2 linked regions of the Rhinolophus ferrumequinum genome follow. The main gene of each other region encodes a partner of the protein of the gene in region 2 in a complex. Links are inferred from orthologs where the notes say so. Each region holds a gene or a part of one and is shown on either strand. Other genes may lie near its edges.

What was found.
Region 1: FAM8A1 (region 2) and UBE2J1 share a complex: the UniProt entries of both Homo sapiens proteins name them as parts of the HRD1 complex. The link is inferred for Rhinolophus ferrumequinum from reciprocal best matches to the Homo sapiens genes FAM8A1 and UBE2J1.

Annotation. Positions count from the first base shown.
Region 1 is NC_046286.1:46,025,093-46,038,315, forward strand, and holds the start of UBE2J1 (ubiquitin-conjugating enzyme E2 J1), read right to left. Parts: upstream 4,692-13,223; 5' UTR 4,047-4,691; coding exon 4,016-4,046; intron 1-4,015. UniProt on the Homo sapiens protein: Catalyzes the covalent attachment of ubiquitin to other proteins. Functions in the selective degradation of misfolded membrane proteins from the endoplasmic reticulum (ERAD) and is essential for cells to recover from ER stress.
Region 2 is NC_046292.1:77,364,446-77,377,079, forward strand, and holds the start of FAM8A1 (protein FAM8A1), read right to left. Parts: upstream 4,709-12,634; 5' UTR 4,662-4,708; coding exon 3,947-4,661; intron 2,818-3,946; coding exon 2,697-2,817; intron 1,069-2,696; coding exon 945-1,068; intron 444-944; coding exon 304-443; intron 1-303. UniProt on the Homo sapiens protein: Plays a role in the assembly of the HRD1 complex, a complex involved in the ubiquitin-proteasome-dependent process of ER-associated degradation (ERAD).

The sequences.
Region 1 (13,223 bases), on a different chromosome or scaffold from region 2:
TGCCTCTTCACTCAGCTCAGTTCAATAGAAGAGAAAAAATAAACACCCAATAGCACCTGGATATTATGAGAGATATAGGAAAGGGTCAGAAATGCTACAAGAAACAATTTAAAGGAACAATCATTGGTTCAACAACTAAAAATGTTGATTTTATTAGTTCATAGGTCACACAGGTCACACACATGTGAGAACTAAAGCCACATAACCAAACAGAAGGTGAGATTAGTCTAATGTCTTCATAATCTATTTTTTATTTTTCTGGAATAATATACATCACGAATGCCTTAGTGTAAACGAACATGGACTCTAGGATTAGAGCTGCAATAAAATGCTAGCTCTGATTCCTTAGGCCTAAATCCTTGAACTAGTCACTTAATCTTATTCTGCCTCAATGTTTATGTCTGTCAAATGGAAGTCAATAATTTCTTCACATTAATTCTCCTTTCCTTTTCAACTCTTCCTCTTCCCCTAGTCACAAGTTATTAGGGTCAGAAATGGATTGGGATATAAGGCCCTCTCAGTGATTCTCCCTGATTCAAAATCAGGCCTTGAGCATATGTAGTTGGCCATATGGCATGGCTTCCCTGGATCCCGAGGAGAAATACCACTGCTATGGGATAGTCAAGATTCAAAGTACTGACTGGCAACTAGAGCAAGATCATGGTCTGCCACTGCTGATGTGCCATCTCTTGCTACCACACGGCTAGAGAGAAAACGTTTTCCCCTGTCAGCTCCTCTCTTATCTCTTTGCAAGGTTATTTAATGGAATTCTCCTACCACAGTGAGATAAAACGTGCCAGGGAAGGGGGTGGGGAGCTCCTGCATGCCTGCTCTTGTTCTTCCTTTTCATGGAGGCCACGTGATCTCTCTGGGTCCAAGCTCTAGGTTCTATAGACCTAGGCATTAGCATTCTTCACATGTCCAGGCTACTAGCTCACTGGGCTCGTACACTGGGGTTTGGAGACAGAGCTCCAGCCACGGGGATCTTTCACACGTGACGGTCTCTCATGGATATATTTCTTTTGGAAAGCAAATATCTTGATATCATCAATCTCCAAAGCATGGGTAAAATGCAGGAGGCAGGTATATGGAGCACCTGAACCCAATGTCACGCTCCATTAGTAAAGGTACTTAAGCAAATGTTTAAAGACTAATGTTTCTGCCCATAAAGACCCATCCATTCAAAAAACATTCAGAGAATATCTGAGCAATGGAGATAGAAGAATGACCAAAACCTGCTTCTTGCCTTCAAAATACGCACAGTGAGAAAGACATGAGAACAATCACAATACAATGACCAAGTATATACAAATATAGGGACTACGTTAGCCTGCCTGCAGAAGTTGAACAAGACTGAGCCTTAAAGAAGCTTGAAGAGTTAATAGGAATTTCAGCTGCCTTAAAGGGAAGGCATTCAAAGCAGAGGTCCCAACAGGGACCAAGACATAAAGGTGAGAAGAGCTCCATCTGGGGGGTCACTCAGGCTCCCCAGTGGATGAAGAATGGACAGTTGGTGAAAATGCAAAGGAGCATAGGAGTGGTAGAAGGTGAGGCTGACGGGGAAGGCAAGGATCAAATCAAGAGCAGCCCAGTAGGCCAAGCTGAACGGTTTATTTACTTTGAACTTTATCCACAGCCATGAGGAAGCTACTGAAGACATCTCAATTTAAGGAGTGATTTAATCATGCTTTGTTTTGTTTTAATTGACCTGGTGACAATAGTGACTGATTATATCGGCGGTGCCAAAAAAATGTATACAAGTGGACACTTTGGTCAACGTTGCTCAAGCAGTAGTTCGCCATAATCAGAAGTGTCTGGAAGCAGATGGTAACCACTTTGAGCACCTCTTGTAATTGCAAAAGTCAAATGTGATTTGTATTCGTCTTTTGTTATCCGTATATATTATCCACATGTTAGCACAATGACCCTTAACCAGTTACCTGTATTGTCTTAATTGTCCCATCCATACTTCTAAGGCAACTCCACATGAGACAGAGAGAAAAAGGATTGTATCTCTTATCTTACAGTGTGCAGTGTTTTTAACTACTTCCTTTTACATATACATTACTCCCAAAATATCACAGGACTGAACAACAAAACAAAGTAAGGAAGCATTTTCACTATGCCTCCTAGCTTTTCAATAAGTCCCAAATCACATTTAATTCACCTTCTCCATGAACTCAAAATGATCCACACAAAAACAAAAAAAGATTTTTTAAAAATTCTGTTTTAGAACAGTAACACCACCTTTGAGGAACTGAAACCAAAAAGAGGAAGCAATTTATTACAGCTAGAAGCATGTTGACCAAAACTCAGCCTGCCTGCAGGTCATATACTTCAGAAACGTACAAAATTCTGGAGAATATTAAACGTTTATCACAATCTCAGGTATTATAACCTGTAAAATTCAGGAATGTCCTGACAATCTCCACTCTAAATTGTACTATTACATTTGCATTATCTCTGGATAGTGCATTTACATTTGCATTATCTCAGGTATCCTAAGGAACTTGGTACCAAGTGACCAAGAAGTCACCATACATTTTTACCCTCCTCCCCGTTTTATTTAAATCTACCACAATCTAAATAATTTAACCATTCTACCATCTAACCTTAAAGTTAAGTTTTTCCTTCTCTCTTTCGCTTTAATTTTTCCCCCTGGCATTCTTAAGAGATCGGCTAGAGGGGGAAAGTTGTGAACCCACTGAAATTGAATTGTATAAATGTTTTTTTAAATAGATCATAGCCTTTAGCAGATTCTTACAGGAATTTATGGCCCCCTCAAATTTTATGACCAATTCTACATACTTGTTCACTTAACATTTCTTAGCCTGACAGCACTCAAGTTAACAAACTCTGTTCAATCAATATCCTCAGGCTCTTCTGGAGTCTTTGCATATTCTTAAGTATTTAAAAAAATCAAAGATTCACAATGTGAACTCTTTCCATAAGGAAAGATTCCTACTGAGAAGCTGCTTTTTTGGAAGAAAAAAATAATAAGCAGCAAGAGTTGGTCAAACCATCTCTAATATTTTAGGATTATCATTTAGAACGAAACTGTGGAGTTTCTCCCTCCTGACAAATTTATCAAGGTACAGATAGAATAAATACCATTTATAGAACACAATGATTCATTTCAAGCCTGCCTTAATCTGAGAGCTGATTACTTTTCCTGCATCTTTATAATGCACTAGAAAAGAATTTGAGGCTAGGATTGTTTGGGCTGCTTCTGTGAATGAAACAGGGACATTAAATACAGGAAAAGAAGTTTCAATGACTAAATATATATATATATGTATATATATGTGTATATATATATACACATATATATACACACCCACACACACATACATACAAACACACACATATATATATATATTATGTATATAATATACAATATATACATAATATATATAATATATATATAATCAGATTAGTCAGTATGACAAAAAATCAGGTTAGCTCTAAAGTACACGACTCAACTAGTTTCCTTAGCTCTCTGGCTAACCGGTTTAGTACAGAACATTTCATTTATGTCTGTAATTCTATTAGCTCCAAATGCTGCAAATGGGATATTTAAGCAACTAAATCCTCAAATGCGGGTGAGTCAAGCAGCTAAGGAGTCCAGTGGCAGCTTCGGAGAAGGGATAACGACGGTGTTCAGGATGCAGTCCGGCCAGGGGCTGTTAACTATTACTCACGGACATCATCACCTTTGCACCTGTTCTTAGGGATGCGTTTATAACCCAGCTTACGCGACGCAGATGAGGGAAAGGAGAGTCCGGGTGCTGCGGAGCGCTGGCCAGTCCCCAGACTCAGCCGACTGTGCCCGCCCGGCCGCCGTGCCCTGCGGCCTGCACCAGCCCTGCAGGCGGCGGTCTCGCGTAGAGCGCGACACCGGGAATGGAGCCGCGAGTCGCGGCGGACGCGAGGGGACCGCAGCGCCGGGCCCCGGAGTCCAGGGTCACTCCAGTCCACTCCGACAGTGCTGCCCACCGCCTCCAGCCCTGCTCACCCGGACTCTTCAGGTTGTAGCGCGTCTCCATGGCTGGTCGCTGTCCCGGCTCCGGCCGCCCTACCCGCCGCCGTCTCCTCTCCACGCCGCTGGTGCCCCGGTCTCAGAGCGGTTCGGGGCGATTGCGCCAGGCAGAGGGAGCTTCCGCAGACGCCGCCCAGCCCTGGGCCGGACTGTGGACCAGGTGGTGAGGGTGCGGGCGAGGCGCGGGCTTCGCGATGGCGCCGCCTTTTCCGCTGTTCCCCCGCCTCCCTGAGGGCCTGGCAGGCGCCGGCGCCGGCCGGGGCGTCGCTGAAGGGGGCGGCGGGGCTCGAGGTCAGCCTTCTCTATTGGCCCCCGGCCCAACCCCGCCAGGCCGCCGGGCCTGCGTCACCGCCCTCGCCCAGGTTTTGTGAAGTTGGTCTGACGTGGCAGTCGCTTCGTGGCGGTGGGTCAGCGCAGCCTGCGGTCACTCTGCTGCCGCCGTGGCCCCACGAAGCCCGCTCGCCGATCTTCCGCCGGGCCCATCCGGGGTCCCCAGGCGCTCGCGGCTGTTACTGAGGAACGGCGTGGCTGGAAGCGGACCTGACCCTACCTGCTGCGGGTGTGGTCCCAGACCCCAGCCCTCGAGAGGTCAGGCGGTAGCCCGGGGCTCCCGCTGCAAAACTGTCCTGTAGCCCGGCTACCTGCGAGCTGCCCCTAGGTGTCTGCGAAATGCTTTTTTTAGATTCAGTAGTTTGGGGTGGAAACAGTTAAGTAGTGAAAGGAAATTCCGGTGATAAGGGAAATTGAGTCGGATTTTAATAACATTTTTTTTTTCAGATAATGTATTTAGGTGCCAGACACGTTTAAGTATTGTAAGGAATTTAAAAAATTTTGAAACTTGTCAAAAAATGAAACTAAGAAATTACATTGAATTGGGGGAAAAGCATACAAATATGAAAGGTTGAATCTCAAAGGACACACTTCATGGTTCATTGTGGAAAGAGTGGGATCGTGGAAAAGGGGTCTATGGGTTCTGAAGTTTTAAAAGAGGAACAAGGATTTAGGAAAAGGAGAGAGGAATTGGAATGGTGGGGAGATTGAAGAAGGAAGGAAAACTAGGCGGGATGAAGACAGTTAATCAGGTTGGTTGGGCACGTTTTATTTTGTTATATAAAGATAGACAACTTTGGTTTTGAAGGGTAGCAGAACATGCCACCCCCAAAATATGCCTCTTTGGCACAAGGATTATTTTGAGAAACAAGGCACAGGAGAGGAGAATCTTTGAAAACAGAAGTTACCCTTTTGTAAGGGAAATTTACATTTGTAAAGGAAGTATTTTTATATCTCCTTCTGTGTACTTGGAAGAGAAAGTTGACTCTATGAGGTGGGACAATTAAATTTAGCAACTCATCTTAGAAAAAGTGCCACATATGTCATTGCTGAATATCACTACGGTCAACTTTGAAGTACTCCCCTTGGGAAGCTATGCACTGATGCCAGTGCCTAGTCCACCCTTCAAAGCAATTTTGGAACTCTTTTCCTGGAATGGCCATCAGAGCTGTCGTCACATTACCCTTGATGTCCTGAATGTCATCAAAATGTCTTCCTTTCAGTATTTCCTTTATCTTCAGGTAAAGAAAGAAGTCATTGGGGGCCAGATCAGGTGAGCAGGGAGGGTGTTCCAATAGTGATTTGTTTACTAGCTAAAAACTCCCTCACAGATAGTGCTGTGTGAGCTGGTGCATTGTCGCGATGCCAGAGCCAAGAACTGTTGGCGAAAAGTTCAGATCGTTTTTCGTCTTAACTTTTTCACGTAGCCTTTTCAGCACTTCCAAATAGTAAACTTGGTTAACTATTTGTCCAGTTGATACAAATTCATAATGAATAATACTTCTGATATCAAAAAAGGTTAGCAACATGGTTTTGACTCTTGGTTTGGACTGACAGAACTATTTTGGTCATCTATCATTGGCTGACTTCCATTGGCTGACTTTGATGCTTTGTTTCAGGGTCGTATTGGCAGTACACCCATTTTTCATCACCAGTGATAACACAGCCCAAAACATTGTCCTGCCTCTCCAAAAGGTCTTGGCAAACTTCGACTCTCCTTTGCTTTTTGTTCATCATTTGGAACCATTTTTACACACACATTTCTCATGCCAACATTTTCAGTTAAGATTTTTCTGTTTATCGATTCTTACTTGGTCTGCTAAGCTTCTCTCAGTCAGCCGAGGATTTTGACGCACAATTTGACAACTGTTTTTGTCAATTCTGCTCATTACTGGCCGCCCTGACCTCTCTTCATCAGTGACACATTCTCTTCCCTCAGAATAACATTTAATCCATTTGTAATCCATTTGTGCACTGCCGTTTTCTTCATGGCGTTATTCCATTAACTTGGACTAACACCCCTGATTTCACTTCCACTCTTGCCAAATTTAACAAGAAATTTAATGTTTGTTCATTGCTCTATTTCCAACTCAGACATTCTTGTGACAGCACACAAAAACACGCAACAATAGTAACGAACACCACTCAGCAAGACACCACCACACGTCGATATGAACACAGCTGTGAGACACTGATATACCAAGGTTATGAAATCTTACCAGGCTGTTTGTACAGTGCTGCCAATGTAAGTGCACAGTGGCAAGTTCGTATGGGGTCTCTCAGGTATGTGGGGTTCCCCTACCATGTATGTATTAAATTTAGTTATTTTCTCTTGCTAATCGATTTGATTATTAGACCAGCCAAAAGAACCTTGAAAGTAGAGGAAAATTTCTTTCTCCTCCACACATACATCAACTCACTTATTCTTCACAACAGCCTTGTCAGCAGCACAGATTATTGTTAACGAAAGTTCCCAAAGAAATTAAAAGAGAGTTTTACTCATATATGAATTGTATATCAGAGAACATGTGAACCAAAGACACATTGGGGCAGAGGAAAACAGGGTTTTGAAAAAAAGGGTTGCTAGGGAAACAAGGTTATAAACTTAAACATCATTCATTTTCTGATTGGTGGGGGCAACTGAACTTTTAATGATAAGAACAATGGGTAACGTGATTAAGCATTTATCAAAGTCCTAGTTCAGGCTTACAGGACAAAGACTTTGGGTCAATAGGTCCAGGACAGGGGGTGTTGCTTAGGAACCGCACAGGGGGTACCATTTTTCAAACAACACAATCACTACATGGGAGCTTCTTGCTCTACAGGTGGTTTCGGAGCCCCAAAAGGGCAAAGTTATGCTGAAGCAGGGCCCTGTTGGGACCCCAGTAGTAGAGGCCTGTCCACGTCCCTGGCCTCACCTTCCTTCACCTACCTATAGCTTAACAATAAATCATCTCTTTGCGGCTTGAGCTCAGAATGTCCCGTCCCACCCAGTTCCCCGTTTTAGAAAATTACCCTGAAACTTATGATTAATATCCTTAGGCTTATTGCTCACAGTCTCAATGGTCTAGCATCATTCTTTCCAGACATCATCCTTTCTGGGTTGCTGACACCACTGCAGAATCGAGCATCACGTTGCCAGAGGGAAGGCTCCATGCAGACCCCATCCCAACCCTCACATAGCCTTTAGACGAACGCCCCGATTTTCCCTTAAATACCCAAGTCAGTCTGAGAATGTTAAGGCAATTTTTGAAGGTGTTAACCTGCTGCCTTCCCAGACCACCGGTGCTCTGAAAATAAACGCTTATTCTATGGCCCAACTCCTGTGTCGGTCTATTGCCTGAGCAGCGAAGGCAGCATAAAACCCCGGACTCGGTTGCCCTCCGGTTTCAATGCCTTCTAAGCAACTTCAGAATTCAAGCTGCAAATCTCCAAATTTGGGGCCATAAGTTATGATATTAAAGGTCTTATAAGTCCTCATTATTTATATCCTCTTTACAGATGAAGACAATTGAGGTCTCAGAAAAAACAATTTACTTAAATACTCAGTTTACAATTACATTAAAAGTTCTTATCTTTTTTGGTATATCATTTTTATCATACTGATAAAAGGAAATTTTTCTAGGTCCTCATTTATGTCTTGATTTGAATACTTTGAAATTCATTTTACAGAGGTTCTGAAGAATATCATTGACATATTCAAGGCTACTCATCTAAAAGTAGAAAAACACTGATTCAGATCTGGATCTTCCAACTCTGAAACCTAGATTGTTTTCACCGTGCTAACGCAGAATCAGGCTGTGTCATACAAGGCCTTTCCCCCCACCATTTGAAAGCAGGGATATGCTTCTTAGAATCAGAGCTATTCTTGGACCACACACTTTAAGATATTTATTCTTTAGCATTTAAAAAAATGGCCATGATGAACATTGTAGTGTATTTACCTTGCTTGAGCCTTTATTTATAAAGTACAGGTATATGAATAGAGTTGAAATTCCATTGTATGTACTTTTTTATACTAAAAATATCTGCCATCAGCTAACTAGTGTAAAACAATAAAGAGGTCTAAGCTAAAGGAAAAACAAAGAAATGCAGTTTTAATAAAGGCTCAGGTTACATGTACTGTTCTCAATCTGGCCCTCTTTATGTAAATAAAGGATTCTGGGTAGGTTAACTGGGATTGGTTGAGTTTAACATGCAAACAAAGAATGCTGGTTGGCAAAGCGGTTAGCTTCTTTCAAAGTAAAGAATGTAAATGATCAGTTTGTCATGGTGAGAAAGAAGTCCATGGCTGAGAAGCTCAAAAGGTTATGGAGAACCGTGTAAGGCAAACTTCTTCATGGTCTCCCAGCTCCATGCTAATTCCCCTAACATAAATGAGTCCACTTTGGCAATCTCTGTACACCTTGGATTGCTTGTTTTGCAAGTAGCAGTGCTATTACCAGATAGATAGCATAAACTGACTAATTTTACATCAATGTCTTCCTAAAGTATGATTTAAAATGAAAAAGAGCTTGAAAAGACATAGGTGGTCTCTAGTGTAAACATTTTATTAATTCCTTTGAATATTTTATAATAGTTTATTATTATTATTATCATTATTTAAAAAAAGAACATCTGCCATAGTTTTTCCTATTGTTTTCCCCCAGAATTTCCCCCTTTGGAGTAGTTAAGAAAAATGGGACTAATTTTCCCGTAGGAATGTAGCTGATATTAATGTTAGATGTTGTTCATTATCAGCAACACAAGTTCCAACTCTGGTTATTTTAACAAAAAAGTCAGAAAGGAGTTGTTTTGTGCCCCACCTCACTGCACTGCAGCTCTAATGCTATGCTTGTGCCTACCACCTGGTGGCTGGCTGAGGGATCCAGTAGAGAAACTGATTTCATTTTTTCCTTCTCAGTTTCTATTTTCAAGATATGTCTTCCTGCTCATTCTATTTTAACACTTTTCTAATACTGTATTCCAGAAGAAAATATTATGGAGAGATATCAAATGAGTATATTTGAAACCCAGTGGAGTGCTTACAATCCTAGTTTTAGTAGTAGGTAGGTGTCTTTTACCAGATGACTTGTACATCATTTTAAAAGCTTTTTCCCATTAATAAGCAAAGAAGCATTTTATAAATGCAGTTGTAAATAGCTGTTTGCAATATTATTAAAATCATTTTTACTGTGGCTTTCTTAAAAATTACACCTTTTCTTGGAGATCCAAGCTGCTACCATAGCTTTGAATTATCTGACATCTCCCCCAAACTCGCAGCTCCTGCTATTAGGGATGAGGAAAAAGAAACCTACTTTGATATTGTGTTTTTGCTGTATTTGTATGAATTACTTTTTTTTTTTTTTTGTAATAAAGGTGATTTAAAATTAGCCACAAAAATTACAATACTCATATATTCCTTACTGTTTTTTTTAAAAATTAGTTTCAGGTGTACAAAACAATGTAATAGTTAGACATTTACACCCCTCACAAAGTGACAATCCCCCACTCATATTCCTTACTCTTTAGTTCTGATGAACTGATGAGTTTAACAAGAGGTATTTCTATTTCTAAATTTAGCTCTAAAGGAAACACCTGCAACTAAGATGAAACTGCTGTTCATGGGTGAAAGAATAGGTATTTCATGATGTGCCATCAGCTAGCGCTGACACAGCTCTGTCTTCTCCTTCCCTCCTGCTGAGTCCCGGTGCCTTAAGAGCTCTTCAGGGCACTGTCCTGCCACTCTGTGCCTTTTTTCTTGTGTCCCCATATCCTGTCACTTCAATTTGTCATTCTCTGGACCCCTTTTGGCCACTTTGCTGACTGATCAAAGTTAGTCACCTACAAACTAGCCTAAATAGCTTAGAATTTCCTTACCCTCAAAGTAGCTTCAGTTTGTATTCATTGCAAAGGAAAGTGCAAAAGGACAAAAAATTACTATGAGTTCAATACTTTTAAACAAATTTGTATTTTATTTACCACTAGAGCATCCACAAAGTTCCAAAAAAAATAATAGTTCATAGAGATGTGAAACATTCTTCAGTCTACAGATAATGCGCAGAGCACATGTGAATTATGGAACTTCCTGTAGTAATTCTGCAGCCACAGGGCATTTCGGCAATATTATTAACGTCTTTAGGACAAACAACACTATTCTGTTTCCCATTAAATCCACTTTACAATTATAGGCAAACTTTGAATGATAACCAACTCATCAACTTCTAAAAAGCAGTCCTGGACTTCCCTGCAATATATCCTTTTAGCACAAAATAACCAAAAAGTGCAGGTAATGCCACACTCCATCTGCCTTCCAGTATTTTGTGAGAAAACAGCTGAGCCAGTCTGACTTCCCCAGAAGTTGAAGTTGGGTTTAGGTCAGATGTTCTTAAATGGGAATATATGCCATACATTCCAGAATAGAGAGCAAACTTTTCCCAAATACATCATTCTTCAGAAAAGAGAGTTGTCTTATATTTTTGTCTTTACTTTCCTTTTTGAACAAAAAATACTTTTCAGGACAACAATATGTCTTGAAAGGACTTCAAGCAGTGGCAGTTTTTTTTTTTCTATCTTATAAGGGTCACTGAACAAAATCGGGGGGAAAAGTGAAGACATATTTATTAATTTTTCCTGAACGTATGACCTTGGAGAACAAGCATTGGAAATCACTATTAGTTGACTTTGTAAAAAGAAGAGTATAAGAAATACTTAATTCTGGAGACTGAACATGCAAGTGGGGGAAAAATCCTGTCGTAATGTTTAACAAATGGTTCTTGAGACTCAGTAAAATCTCCATAGACAGCATCCTACTCAATTTAAAACATATTCTATCTTAAATAACTAGAAACAAACTGTTAGATGATTCAAAATGTTGTCCCAATGATGCTAAAGACCCTGCTGTAGAAGATGTCTGTGAAGAATTTGAATAAAATTATTTGAGTGAGAGAAAACAATTTTTGTATAATTTGTGATATTAAATGTGAATAAGTATTTAAATATCTAATTTAATAAATGATTCTAATAGACTTTTAATTATTTAATTTACATCCATAAAATTGTAGATTAAATAATGTAGATTTTAAAAGCTACATAATTATTTTGGAGACACTAACACTTGCAGCACGCGCGTGCGTGTGTGTGCGCCCACGCAGAAGTGGAGGAATGATGAAAGCTCCCCTAGGTGACTCCAATCCTAGTCCCCCACCACCTGCCTCCAATCCTAGACCCCCATCACCTGCCTTCCCCATCCCTTTTAACAACTACAGTCCAAACAATGTCTCCAAAATTATAAGAATTACCTAGGGTGCTTATCTAAATACAGATTCCCAAACCTCTGCCCAGAAATTCTGATTTAAGAAGGCTGGGGTAGAGACAGGAATTTGCATTTTTAAGCTCCCTAGATGATTCTTAAGATCAAGTAATTTTGGGAAACACTGACCTGAAACAGTAGGACATGAACTGGTAGCACCATTTCTTGCACGTTATAAACCTGAGTTCCTTCCTCTCCCACTGAGGTGGAGAGCCATATAGGACTGGTCTCTCCCAGTCAGTCCCTTTACTGGCAGCTTCCATGGAGGGGAAATGAAAGCCTATTACCAGGACCACCTTACAGAGAGGTCTGGGAGAAGTCCTGAGTCCTGCTGTTATCTATTATAGTTGATGCAGGTGGAACGGACGCAGAGAGAATTAGGCAGCAGCTGAGGGACTTAGACATTAATGGAAGCTGGAAGCAAACAAACATCTTGTAGGAATGGGATTCTCCATAGTGATGGTGAGGGTTAGCATGGAAGAAACTGAGGTCTTAATTGCTCTGCTGTAGTTGGCCATTCAGGGAAGGGCCTTAGATTTTTGACCTCAGTTTTGGGGTACTAGAAAGAGCCCCCTTGCCCTAGCAGCTTATTAGTACAGATTGAAGAAGCAGGGTGGTCAAGGCCTGAGGCAGCTGGACGCTAGTTGATGCCCTCCTCCACCTCACACCTCCACCCTGAGTTTCACAGCTAGATCAGCTCCTTTTCATGGGGAAGGGCCTTCTCCAGCTGGTTCTTGGAAGTGTCAAAATAGCACAAAAGGGCAAAACTTATGGATTCTTGATACTGGATGAGACCAATGTCATCTGAATTAACAAAGGACCCCATAAAAGTTAGATATGAACTCATGAGTTACCAAACTCCAAGTAAAATTATTTCTTATAGTCAAGGAGAGAGTAATAGATGATTCTCTCAGGACTGATATCCCCTGGGTCCCTCCTTCCCTTCTAATACAACCCAGCATACGAGCACAAAAACATCCAAGGAGTGGCAATGAAAGGTAAAACTGCTCTGGTAAACACAGCAGAAAGTCCTGATCCAATGAAAGAAAAATTCAAGATCTTCCTCAGAATTTCCCATATGTTTGTTAAGATCTTAAAAATTAACAGAGAGAGAAGGAAAATATTTTACGCTAGAAAGAAAATCCTCAGTTATCTCTGATCTGGCCAATGGGTTCACAGTAGCAGTGCTTTACAAATTGCAGGTCATGACCCATTAGTGAATTGTGAGATCCTTTTTAAAAAAGAAATGAAAGAGAAAAATACTAGAATGCATTGCATATAGAAAGGACAATACATGAGATTTAAAAAAGTAATATTTGCAAGTATGAGTGTGTGATAGTTTTCAATGTGAATTATATTTATTGTGGCTCACAACGACAAAAAGTTTGAAATGCATTTCCTAAAGGGTTAACTCCTACAGTCTGTCCCAGGGCAGTTACAAGCATACCGTTCAAAGACTGCTTTGGTTGTAAGTTTACATGGTCATTCTGTTTTTTAACACAATTTATTTTTTCAAGATTGAATACTGGGGACTAGACTCCATCTCAGCTTTAACTGCTAAAT
Region 2 (12,634 bases):
GCATGGAGCACGGACGTAGATAGCATCAACACCCAAATCACTCATTATCGTGACTCATACTTCATAGTCATTCTCTTGAAAATGTATACTGGAAAGGGGTCTACAATCATAATAATTGAAAAACACTCATAAACTTTATTTTAAACTTAATGAATGTAAGCCTATTCACTATATGCCATGAAAAAATACCAACATTCTAAAAATACAATGTCAAATGGTATATAACATGAATTATATTGATTACTATGCTTAAAATTTATTATTTTCTTAAGTACATAGTGGATTAAGCTAAGAAGAACTTACGTTGTGATGCTAACATTTGAGGAAGGAATTACTAAAACCCGACTTGGTGCAATAAGCACTGATGTATCACACGTCACAACTCGAAGCCCCAGCAGGAACTTCCCTGGGGTAGCTCCGCCTGCTCCCCAAATGCAAATTATCTAAAGAAAGAGGATAATTTAGAAATAACTTACTAGCTCAACTATGCCAATTTTAAAGGTAAGTTTTCCTGCCATATTATTCAGGTTTTAAACATTTCAAGTTGAAAGAATTTTACAGAATATTCAAAGGTTAATCGTTTAATGCATTTCTGCAAGTCTCTAACACCACCAAATGTCTACTGTAATATTTCTCTATGACCCATTATATTTTTTAGCAAGTTGTTTCTATGGAAAAATACATTTCAAGTTCCACAACCAATTTACAAGTATATTTTTGGACAAGACTGAAATATATTACAAAGAAATTATAACATATCTCAACTTGGAAAGTTTTTTTTTAACTTGAAAAGTATTGTTAATTAAAGAAAATTTGGAAAAAACTAGTAAAACAGACATCTGACAAATATTTGAAAAATAAATTTCTGTTAACTTTTTTATCTTGGGCTGATAATCTAAAATTAGATAATTAAATATTAATATTTGCTGAAGTCAGTAGCTTACCTCATAGAAACAAACTAATAATCTGTATATAAGAGCCACAACCATCATTTTTTGCAAGTCTTCCATTGATGTATCTTCATCTATTTCTTCTATTATATAATGCATAGCAAACTTAGAGATATCCCTACACAAAAGAATAGTTTGGGGTTATAAAGAATTAGTTATCAGAGCAGTTGCATTGATTTTTTTTTTCCATTAGTTAAGTCATAACTTTAATTGAAATTCTAAACTAATCTTTAGGTTTCCAACCATCTAATTTCACAAAACATTCACCAGCTTATGCTATCATAAGTAGCACTATCATAAGCAAGCACTGTTCTAGAGCCCTGGAGATAGATACAATGAGATATAATGGTGAGTGAATTCAACATGGTCTCTGCTTTTATGGAGATTATAACTAATCAGGGAAAGCAGAACAATAATAAAGTGGGATATGAAATAAGAGACTGGGGTATGTGACAGGAAACCATAGTGTACTACGCAAACACACACCAGGTACATTTAACTTGTGAAGTCTTCCCAAAAATGATATTTAAGCTTAGATTTAAAGGATGAAGAGAAGTTGGCCAGACTAGTTAAGGGAGAAGTTTCAGAGAGGGACTAACAAGAGAAAGCCTTGGAGGACTAACGAGAAAGAGGACGATGAAAGCTGTAAGCAGTTTGGTATGGCTCAAATATTAAATATGACAGGTGACCATGATTAAGAAATAGAGGCATCTGTTCAACCTCATGAAGACAAGACTATCCTGATAGCAATAAGAAACCACTGAAGGAATTTAAGGCAGGAGAGGAGCAGAGTCAATTTATGATCTCTAGTTTTATATCAGAGACTGGACTGAGATAAGACAGGAGACTGAAATACCAGTTAGAAGAGTTTTGCTATAATCCAGGCAAGAGATGACAGTAGTTGGACTAAGGAGAAACGATGATGAAAAATGATCTGACAGTGAAGAGGAAATGGTCTGGGTTGAAGGCTATACACCATTTTCAACAGAAAGAAATTGGTACTGGATTGGAAATGTAGGGGTAGGAAAAGGAGGACAGAAAAGGATCACAGGAACACTGGTTCCTGGCAAGGGCCCTGAAATTTGACTACAATGGTTTGTATCTTGACTCTCTATCTTGTATTTCACTTATTACCTTTGTAAATTCGTAAATTCTGGGCTTAATTTCTTGTAAATCCAAATTTCAATCTCTGTAAAATGGAGGTACTAACTTCTACAGCTCATAGTGATGAATCCATATAAAGAGGTGAGCTCAATGCCTAGCATGTAGAAAGTACTTAGCAAGTGACAATTGCTATTATGATTATTAATCTGAAAGGATTATTCAAATAAATGGGTCACTTTGCAGTTCATTTGGGACTTCCTTGATAATATAAGTAATCCCATTTGGAAATGCCATCTAGCTGATTATTAATAGTTCATCTACCAAAAGCTCTTTATTCCTAGCAAGAGGGAAGTGAATTCCTGGCTTAATAGTTGAAAAAAATCAAAATAGGTTTGGAGGCTCCTTTTACCTATTTTTAATAGGTGAGACTCCTACAGATTCTGCAGAATTTATTAAGATTTTTCTCTTTTGTAGTTATTTCTTAAAACCAACAAGAAAAAAAAATCTGATAAAGCTCCTATAAAGAAATCATGAGACTGGCCATCAATTATTCATATAGAAACTTGCAGGCATAAAGAGAACGAAACACAAGATATGTAGACAGTAGACATTAAAACCTCTCTGCAAATGGCCTTTACTTACTTTATTCCACTGAGATGCATAATGCTTAAGACAATGGTTGCTTTGATAAAAAAGAGGATAAAGAAATCCACCATCTCTGCCATAAATCTGTGGACCAAGGATGGAATAACATACTCTCTGCCTGTAAATTAAAAAAAAAAAAAAGGTTAGGAACACTAATCATTTCATATAGGCCTGAGAACCCAAGCTAAGTAAATTAATAGGGAATGTAAAGTCAAGGTACAAGGTGCTAATAAAAAAATTTATAATCTTGCAACAATCACTGGCATTGACTCTACCAACAGTACATGTTATTAAAATATACTACACTATTTACAAAGAGTTTAAAGTTGGCTTTCACCTTAATGTTTAAAAAACAATTTCAATGGTAAATTTAATTAAGGTACTCAATGCATTTCACTAGGGACTCAAATGAGAAACCAGGTGATCAAGAGCCTGTGACACAAAATTAAACGTTTTTTAGTAAAAATCAAGGTTAAGTATAGACAATCAGTACAAAGTATATGCCCATTACTCATTTTACCTCCTGTTTAGTTTCTCTTGCTTTCTATTTAATAAATCTGTCATCCTACATTCTGAATGGGATCAAATTCAGAAACAACTAATTCTTGTTCCCCACATCTGTGGCTGAATAAACAAAAATTCTAAATAATAAAAAGTAATGCAAAATATTCTAATTCCCATAGAGAAGTAAACAGACAACATACAAGGATAATTCAACCACGGTCCAGTCAAAAGTTCAAAACTCCATTTGTATTCATGTAAATATCCATCAGTTTCACTGTCCCTAATGTAATATATAATTATATTCTATGTTATCTATATTATATATCCTACAATATGTAGATAATATATAATAAATCCACGTCTGGATTATTTCCAGCATTACCAGTCAACCATCCTCCCCCCTACCCCACCATGTAGGTTTGCCATTTGGAAGCGTGGAAATCATGAGGATGGTTTGAAGGGCAGAGATTTCTTTACATGCAGAAATGATTACTCTGAGGAGAACGGGAATCAATTCGGAATGCCAGGTCTAAAGGAAGAAGAAACTGCATAGCCTTTCTGTATACACTTGAGAATTTAAGGCCTGGGCAAACCATAGCTGAAGCACACGGAGACACACCAGTCCGAACAGCGGCAGCGGCAGCAGCCACACGCGTAAAAAAGCGTGCCTGTTCTACCCGATCCAGGTAGTTGTTCCCCGAAGACCCTTCTGCTCCGCCCCACCTCCCGATCCCGCTTCTCACCTGCCTGGCGCCCGTTCTCGCTTGGGGTTCGCGAAGGGGCGGCGGATCCTACCCTCGTCACTGGGGTTGCCCGGACGGATCCCTGCACGTGAGGAGCCCGGGGTCCCAGGCCCGTGACTGGAGCAGGGGTGGAGATGCCTGGAGTCGCTCCTGGGTCAGGTCCCGCGGCCGCGGCGCTCAGGAAGTAAAAGGGGTTGTAATAGCCCAGCTGGAGGGGCGACGGCGCCGCCGTCTGGGGGGCGTTGGTGCCGCCGCCTGAGGGGTAGCTGAGCGGGGATGGCTGGGGGCCACAGTAAGCTGGGAAGGCGGCCAGGCCGCTGTGCCAGGTGAGGTAGCCGCAGTAAGACTGCCACAACCACTCGTGCACCTGCCGGGAGTACTCGCGGGCGCTCAGCCGCGCGGGTTTGTCCCGCGGCGCCGCGGCCTCCGGCGACTCGCAGCCCGCCGGCTCGGGCAGCCCTGCCCCGGAGCTGGATATCGCGTCCCCGCGCTTCACAGGCTCGCGCTGTGGCTCCGACTCCTCGGCGGCGGCCGTGGTGGAGGCGAGGCCCGCGGCTGGGGGCCGGTCCGGGGACTGTGGTTCGGCCTGCGGCTCGTCCCAGGGATGCGGGGCGGCGGCAGGAGGGCCTGTCAGAGAAGCGACGGGCTCTTGGTCCCCTCCACCGTCGCCCTGCCCGGGAGGGCGGCCTCGGGCCTCATCCGGCCCCTCTGCCATCGTCGTCTCAGCCCCACTCTGCTGTCTCGTCACTGCACCGTCTACCACCCTCACTGGCCCCTCCCCAACGGCCCCGTCGCCACCGCAGCAGCCACAGGCGTCAACAATCCACCACCGGAAGCGGAAGCCCCGCCTCGCGGGGCTAGGCGGAGCGGAGCGGGGCGTGGCGGGGGGGGGGTAAGTGAAGCGAGGGCGGGCAGGGGAGAAGTGGGACGTGAGGGGGCAGGCTGGGGGAAGGGGGCTGTGCGCCCGGGCATCGCCTGGGTGACTGCTCGCCAGTCTGCTCGAAGTCCTTGGATTGTAGATTGTTGGGCCCAGACCGTCACGGTCTACCCAGTCCTCACCTGGTTTTAATGCAGTTTAAGGCCGGAGGCTTCTCCAGATAATCCCAGGGATATGGACTCAGGCTGTACCAGGAGAAAGGCTAAAGGTGGAAGAGGATTTCCTAGAAAGGTTCCAGGAGTCAGCGCCACCTTTTCCATTACAGAGCCGCGATTGTTTTGCAATCTGGGCACAGGGCTTGTTGCTTATTTCCGACTGCGTTCATTATAATTAACTAGTCCTTGGCCATTTGTACTCAAGAAGGTGATACAAGACATATCCCCTTAAGAGGTTAAGAAAGTAACCAAACTAAACAGGGACATAAGAGAGTATGGTTCAGCTGCAGATTTTCATTGTAAGAGAGGAGGAGGGACTATGCTGATTTGCAAGCTAGACTGTCCTAATTTTAGAACTAAGACCTGTGTCCATAAAATCGTTCCACTGCTGTAGACACAAGCCTACTTCTCCAGCAAAACTGCCTTTCCTCAAACCCAGCGTCTCAACCTTTGGTGCCTTTTCCTTTATTTTGTGTTAAGGCAAGTCTCGTTCATCTCCCAGGGCTTTGGAGCCTTTTCTGTGTACCCAAGCCCAGGCATGATTTCCCCTTCTTCTGAACTACATATGGCTTCTTATAGATTTATATTTTAATATACTTTCCTATGTCTTTGATTAAGTGACAGGAATATGTATCCCCAGTACCATACAGAAGACCTACAGAGGCCAAGTATGTACCGTATGAATACTTGTTAATAAGGATGCAATAAGGTTGCATCTTTATTGACTTTGCTCTGGGAGATGTAAAACGTGTAACTTTAGCCCTTAAAAAAACTAATGATTTGGTTAAAGGGAAATACTTTGATGAAACACTTGAAGACCTATTTAAGCCAATAGGAGTATAATATAAATCCAAAATAAGGGAAAGGTCACAGTGGCCTATAGCTAGAAAGGTTACCCTTACAAATTTGGTTTTAAAATCAACTGGGAGGCAGGCCTGTTGGCTCAGTGGGTTAGAGCACAGTGCTCATAGCACCAAGGTCTCAGGTTCGATTCCCACATGGGCCAGTGAGCTGCACCCTCCACAACTAGATTGAAAAAAAAAAAAAAAAAAAAAAAAAAAAAAAAAAGACTTGACTTGGAGCTGATGGGTCCTGGAAAAACACACTGTTCCCCAATATTACCCAATTAAAAAATTATTTAAAAAATTTTAAAAATCAACTGGTAAAAAGTTGTAATGTTTAAACAAACAAGTATTCCAAGTTTGGGTGGCGGAGGCCGGAGAAGCAGGAAGAAAGAAATGAAGCTGGCGTGAATGAGTGTGAAATACTGTTCTTATTGGAGACATGGACTTTGTTTTGAATAACACTTGATTATATTGCATCTGGCACAGTGCCACCCACATAGTAGACATTTAGATTAATCAGTACTCTTGGTTGCAATTGTCAGAAATCTGATTGCAACTGATGTAAGGGAGATAAAAGTAAGTGAATTTATTGACTTGCATAACTAAAAAGTGCAGGACTAGTTTAGGTTTCAAGGATATCTGGTTACATATAATCAAATGATAGCTTCAGGGATCACTTCTCTTTCTCTGACCTTGCCTTAGAGAAAAGTAAGAGTATTTCCGTCTCAGTGATGAAACACTTAATTCTAACTGGCTTAAGCAAGAAAAAATTTTTTTGCCATATGTAACCAAGTTTAGAGGTTCTACCTTCTATAAGAAGGTTCAACAATAGGCATCTATAGGCATTTCAAAAGAGAGAAGAGAGACAAAGTTCAGAGAAATAATGGCCAATAATTTTCTAGACTTGAAGAAAGAGGACTCTTTAGATTGAAGAAGCACATCAAGTCTTGAGAAAATAACATACATCATGATGAATGTAAATAAAGAGAAAGAATTAATGATCTTAATAGGAGCCGTTAAAACATAACCTACCTACAAAGCAATGACATTTAGACTGGAAGCCAAATTTGCAAAAATAAAAATGTATGCTGAAGATATTGGAATATATGTAGTACTGTGGAGACACTATTAACCTAGAATGTTATAACCAAGTGAATCATCACTCAATGAGGATGTAGTATAATGCACCACTGCCAATCCAAATAACATACTGATTAACCCTAGCCTCTTCCCATCACACTCAGCTAAGGATTGAAATCTCCGGGATGTAAAGAGTATTCATGAGTCAAAAACATAAATGGATTCTGGAAAGATGGCAGTACATGAATTTTGAATCTCCATGAATCCCCACGTAACAACAGAGTAGCTAAAGAAACCAAAAATGCATGGAACAACATTTACAACAGTAGATGACAGATAACCTCACGAACCCCAAATACAAGAGGGTGGGGTCAAACCACAGATGCAAGACTTGTAGTGTCAGTGTTGAAAAAATCATATCAAAACTGGAAAGATATTAATAAAATGATATAAGACATGAAGCAGAAAATTCAGAATAAGAAAAACTCAGAAATGAAATCACAGAACTTGGGAAAGAATTAGAAATAAAAAATGATTTCAGAGAAGAATACTGAATGAGAAGAAACAGTAGTAAACAAACACAATAGGTAGAGCCCAAGGAGAACTAGAATTTGAAAATGAGATTTTCTTTAGTTAAAAAGAAATATAGAGAGACATAGAAATGACTTGAGACAAATGACAAATATTGAAAGTGGGCAAAGAAGATCCAATATATAGATAAAGAGTCTCTGATAAAACCAATCCCGCTAACAGAACAAATATAACACATTATAATTCAAGAGAACATTTCCCGAAATAGAAATATTCTATATATATATGTATATAGAGATATATAGATCTCTCTCTCTTTTTCTCTCTCATATATGTATTCCCATATGTATACATATATATACACATATTTATATATTTCATATGTATATTCATATATATAACCTCATATTGAAACCTCATATTGAAAGAGCATACTGTATATCTGAAAATATTGAAAATGAACAACAAATTGTATTCTAGTAAAATTACTAGACTTTGCATTTTGAAAAGCGGTCACTTAGACAAAAAAGAAAGTAATTTATGAGAGAAAGAAATTGGATTATCATAAGACTTAAGCATTAACACTTCATGCAAGAAGAAAATGGTGAAACATTTAAAATATTCAAAGAAAGAAAATGAGAACCAAAGACATTGTATACAGCAAAACTGACTTTCGAGTATACAAACATAAACATTAGTTATAAAATGAAAGAACTCAATGTTATTCACTCAAGTTTCTCCTGAGGAATCTACTAGAGAATGAAGCTTAGTGACCAAAATCACTGACAGACAATGACAGAAGGACAGTTAAATATTAAATATTTAATTACATTTGGAACAAAACTAAATGAAGGTTTGTTTCGGTCAGAGTCCCGTTAAGAGAGGAAAATTACACAGTAGTTTGAACAGAGAACATTTACTATAAAGACTTGTTAATGGAATTGGAGTAAAGGAGAGTTAGCTAGTAAGAGGCAAAGAGAAATCCTACCATATAGGAATAGTAGATATAGGGAGCAGCCACCACTCCTAGGGCTGAAATAGAGTGGACAAGAAAGAGCACTCCCACCTCCACCCGGCCCCTCATTGCTGGAAAGGGCATGACTGTGGCTCACTGGTGGCCAAAGAAGTTCACTGAGGTGTGACCTCAGTGGGGTTCATTAGAAATCCTCTCTGTGGAGTGCTGGGAGAAGATAGCCATAAGGAGGTGCCTTTATCTCAGAATTTACTGCAAAGTGCCCAGAGAAGCCGCTTGCAAGAAGGTGCTTTGCCAGTAGCACAATATGAAGCCATCCAAGAAACAACTGGGGGAAGCTGCCATGGGAAATTGCTGCTTGTTGCTGGCCACTGGGCACTGCTGAAAGGAGCCATGCAGTCTGCAGGAGCCCACGCAGAAAGAGAAGCCTCAGGCTGGACCCTTGGCTCAGGCGGTTAGAGCTCCATGCTCCTAATTCCAAAGGCTGCCAGTTCGATTCCCACATGGGCCAGTGGGCTTTCAACCACAAGGTTGCCGGTTCAACTCCTCGAGTCCTTCAAGGGATGGTGGGCTGTGCCCCCTGCAACTAGCAACAGCAACTGAACCTGGAGCTGACCTGCGCCCTCCACAACTAAGACTGAAAGGACAACTTGAAGCTGAATGGCACCCTCCACAACTAAGATTGAAAGGACAACAACTTGACTTGGAAAAAAGTCCTGGAAGTATACACTGTTCCCCAATAAAGTCCTGTTCCCCTTCCCCAATTAAAAAAAAAAAAGAGAGAGAGAGTAGCCTCCTTCTCCAGTGGTACCACCTTCTCCAGTGGTACCACCTTCCCCCACGCGAGCACCTTCTGTTAAGAAAGCCTAATGACAAACTGGCAGGGATGGGAGAAGTATTTACAGAGTTCTGCTTCATTATTGCAGAGTGAGCAAAGATTTGGAGCTGAGAGTCAATAAATTGACATCTAACACAGGATTGAAAGAGAACATACTCTGAAATGGATTTATATTCTGAAATATTGATACAAAATTACTATAAAACTAGAGGAGAGTATGGGGAGGACATCAGCATAAATTAAGTTTTTCAGTATATTCATGGTGGTAGTATTAGTATTATTTTGAGAACGTGTGTGTAATATGGGTAAAATGAGTAATTATCATTAGTTCTCTCTCTCTCTCTCTCTCTCTCTCTCAGTTTATATATATCAGATATATATATATATATATATATATATATATATATATATATATATATACATATATCTTATTTCCTGGGTCTTTTCAGTAGCAATAATCATCCTTAGCACCTGGACTGTGGTCTTGAAATACCAAGTCCCACTAAAAGAAACAAGGACTTCTTGGAGAAATGGGTGAATCTAGGTCTGGGACAGGAAATGTATAGAATGAGCATGAAATATTTTGTCATCCTAGAGAGCACAGGAACTATTAAAGACTTCTAGGGTCATTTCCAAAGGACCTAGGATACAACTTGAAGAGGCTCCCAGTGGCCAAAAATGAGACAATTTGAGTTTCAATAAGGATAATAATTAGAACGGACTGAAACCCATTAAATATGTTTAAATACACGAATTCATAATAATATGTAATCTTACCAAAGGGATCAAACCTGAGTCTGATCAATCTCTGGATCCAACTGCCAATTTAAAGGAGATAGAGGACAAAGAAGCATATTGAAATATACCATACGTGTGCAATCTGCCAAATGCTGACAGTGTGGAACCCTAGAAGTCAAACAGCTGAGTTCTTCAATAAATGAATTGTAAGAAAAAGAAAAAAAATTAAAAAGTAAGACTAAATCATAATGTCTGGGGATATACTTAAAAAATACAAAAAAGTGATAACTATCAAAGTCAGGATGGTGATTACTGTGTTAGGAGGGAGGGATTTGTGATTGTGATGGAGCACAGATAGGTTTCCGTTGTGGCTGACAAAATTCTGGTTCTTGATTGGGGAAATGATTAGAAGGACATTCACCTTAAACTGTTAAAGAAAGTGACAAAAATGGAGAGTTTTTTACTCACACACCTAGACTCTGAAGGATATACCTCAGTAAGAGGGAAATGGAACTCAGAAGGAAGGAGTGAGTTGCAAAAAGAAATGATTAAGAAAATGAGATCTGCAAGGATCTAATTCTTGAGTTAAATGAGTTTAAGAAAAATAGTCTAGAAAAGCATGGTGAACTGACCACATGTACTCATCACCTTTCCAAAATACCCATTGAAATGAAACAAAGGAATAAAGTTATAAACCTACAAGGTGGTTGTAGCTTTGCAAGATAGAAGGTCATTGACTTAAGGAGGAGAGGCTCAGAACTTGGAGGTATAGGGTACTTTGGAAAGTGGAAGTGAAGCACAATGCTGGCAGGAAGCAAATTAAGTAAAAATATGTTTGCTGAATAGTGACTCCTTGTCCCCCAATTTTTCCACAACTCTGTTCTTGAAATTCTATCAGCCAAACTTATGCCTCCTACACTAGATATTGGAGTATTCTTTTTTGGAGAAACCGAATGATCCCAGAGAAAACCTATATGTTGGATTTGGGGGTCCAAGAACAAAAAATGTGGTTTGCCAGCTTATCAATCTACCCTGAAAACTACCAGGCTATAAAAATCAGACTAAAGGCTCATGGAAAGAAGTTTTAATAGGAAAAGTGAAATCTAAGAGTATGTTTGAGATGTGGAAAAAAATATTGATGAGAATTTGATAATTAAAATAGTTGCACAGTTATACAGAAAACCAAAAAAGTTTTCAACAGAAAGGCAACCATTTAATACCAGGAAAATCAAGCCTTTCTGTGCTACCCAGAGTGGTCCATCCTGCGTTATTCTGAGTTCCCAACATAACTTAAAGAGAAACTTTCACAATATCTGGAGCCCTTGATGTCCTGCAAAAGAAGGAAGACGATGTCCTCAAATTTCTTCCAGCAGGAACCCACTTAGGTGGCACCAAACTTGACTTCCAAATGGAACAGAACTTCTACGGAAGGAAAAGCGATATTTGCATCATAAATCTGAAGAGAACCTGCGAGAAACTTCTTTTGGCAGCTTTTGCCATTGAAAACCTTACTGAGGTCAGTGTCATTTCCTCCAGGAATACTGACCAGAGGGCTGTGCTGAAGCTTGCTGCTGCCACTGGAGCCACTCCTATTGCCGGCCATTTCACTGAAAATTTCACTAATCAGATTGAAGTAGCTTTTTGGGGGCTGCGACTTCTGGTGGCTACTGATCCCAGGGCTGACCACCAGCCTCTCACAGAGGCGTCTCATGTTAACCTGCCTACCATTGCTCTGTGTAATAGACTCTCCTCTGTGCTATGTGGTCATTCCCATCCCTTGCAACAACGAGGAACTCACTCAGTGGGTCTGATGTGGTGGGTGCTGGCCCCAGAAGTTCTGTACATGTGTGGCATCATCTCCCGTGACCACCCATGGGGGATCATGCCTGATCTCTACTTCTACAGAGATCCTGAAGAGATTGAAAAGGAAGAGCAGGCTGCTGCTGAAAAATCTGTGACCAAGGAGGAACTTCCGGGTGAATGAACTGCTCCAGCTCATTCTGAGGTCGCACACTGGTCTGAGGTGTGCAGGTGCCCTCTGTGCCCATTCAGCATTTTCCCACTGAAGACCGAGTGCTCAGCCCGCCCCTGAAGACTGGTCTGCAGCCCCCACTGCTCAGGCCACTGAACGGTAGGAATAACCACCAAGTGGTCTTAAGCTGCTTTTGCACACACCCTTAAACAAAATGGAAATAAGTATGATGGAAATTAAACAGTTTTTTAAAATACTAGGAAAAAAGAAAAAAAAAATAGCCCAAATGAGTGGGATGGGAGCTGGGACTGGGAAGGTAGGGCAGTGGGGCTGACTTCAGGATTTGGGTTGTGTCTCAGCAATACAAAGCTTTTCATTTTCTGGAACTCAGTGGAACTTGAATCTTTTTTTCCTCCCCCTTTCTTCTGTCTCCCCCCCCCCCCCGCCCCCGCCCCACTCTGGTTCAAGCCCTGGTTTCTCAGTCTAGTTGTATAGGACACAGCTCCCTGGCCCATGCTGGTATTACGAGCCTTGTGCCCCCTCCCCCTCCTCCCTCCCCCTCCTCCCTCCCCCTCCCCCTCCCCCCAGCTATGTCTGAAACCATCTCCTGTCTGAATGT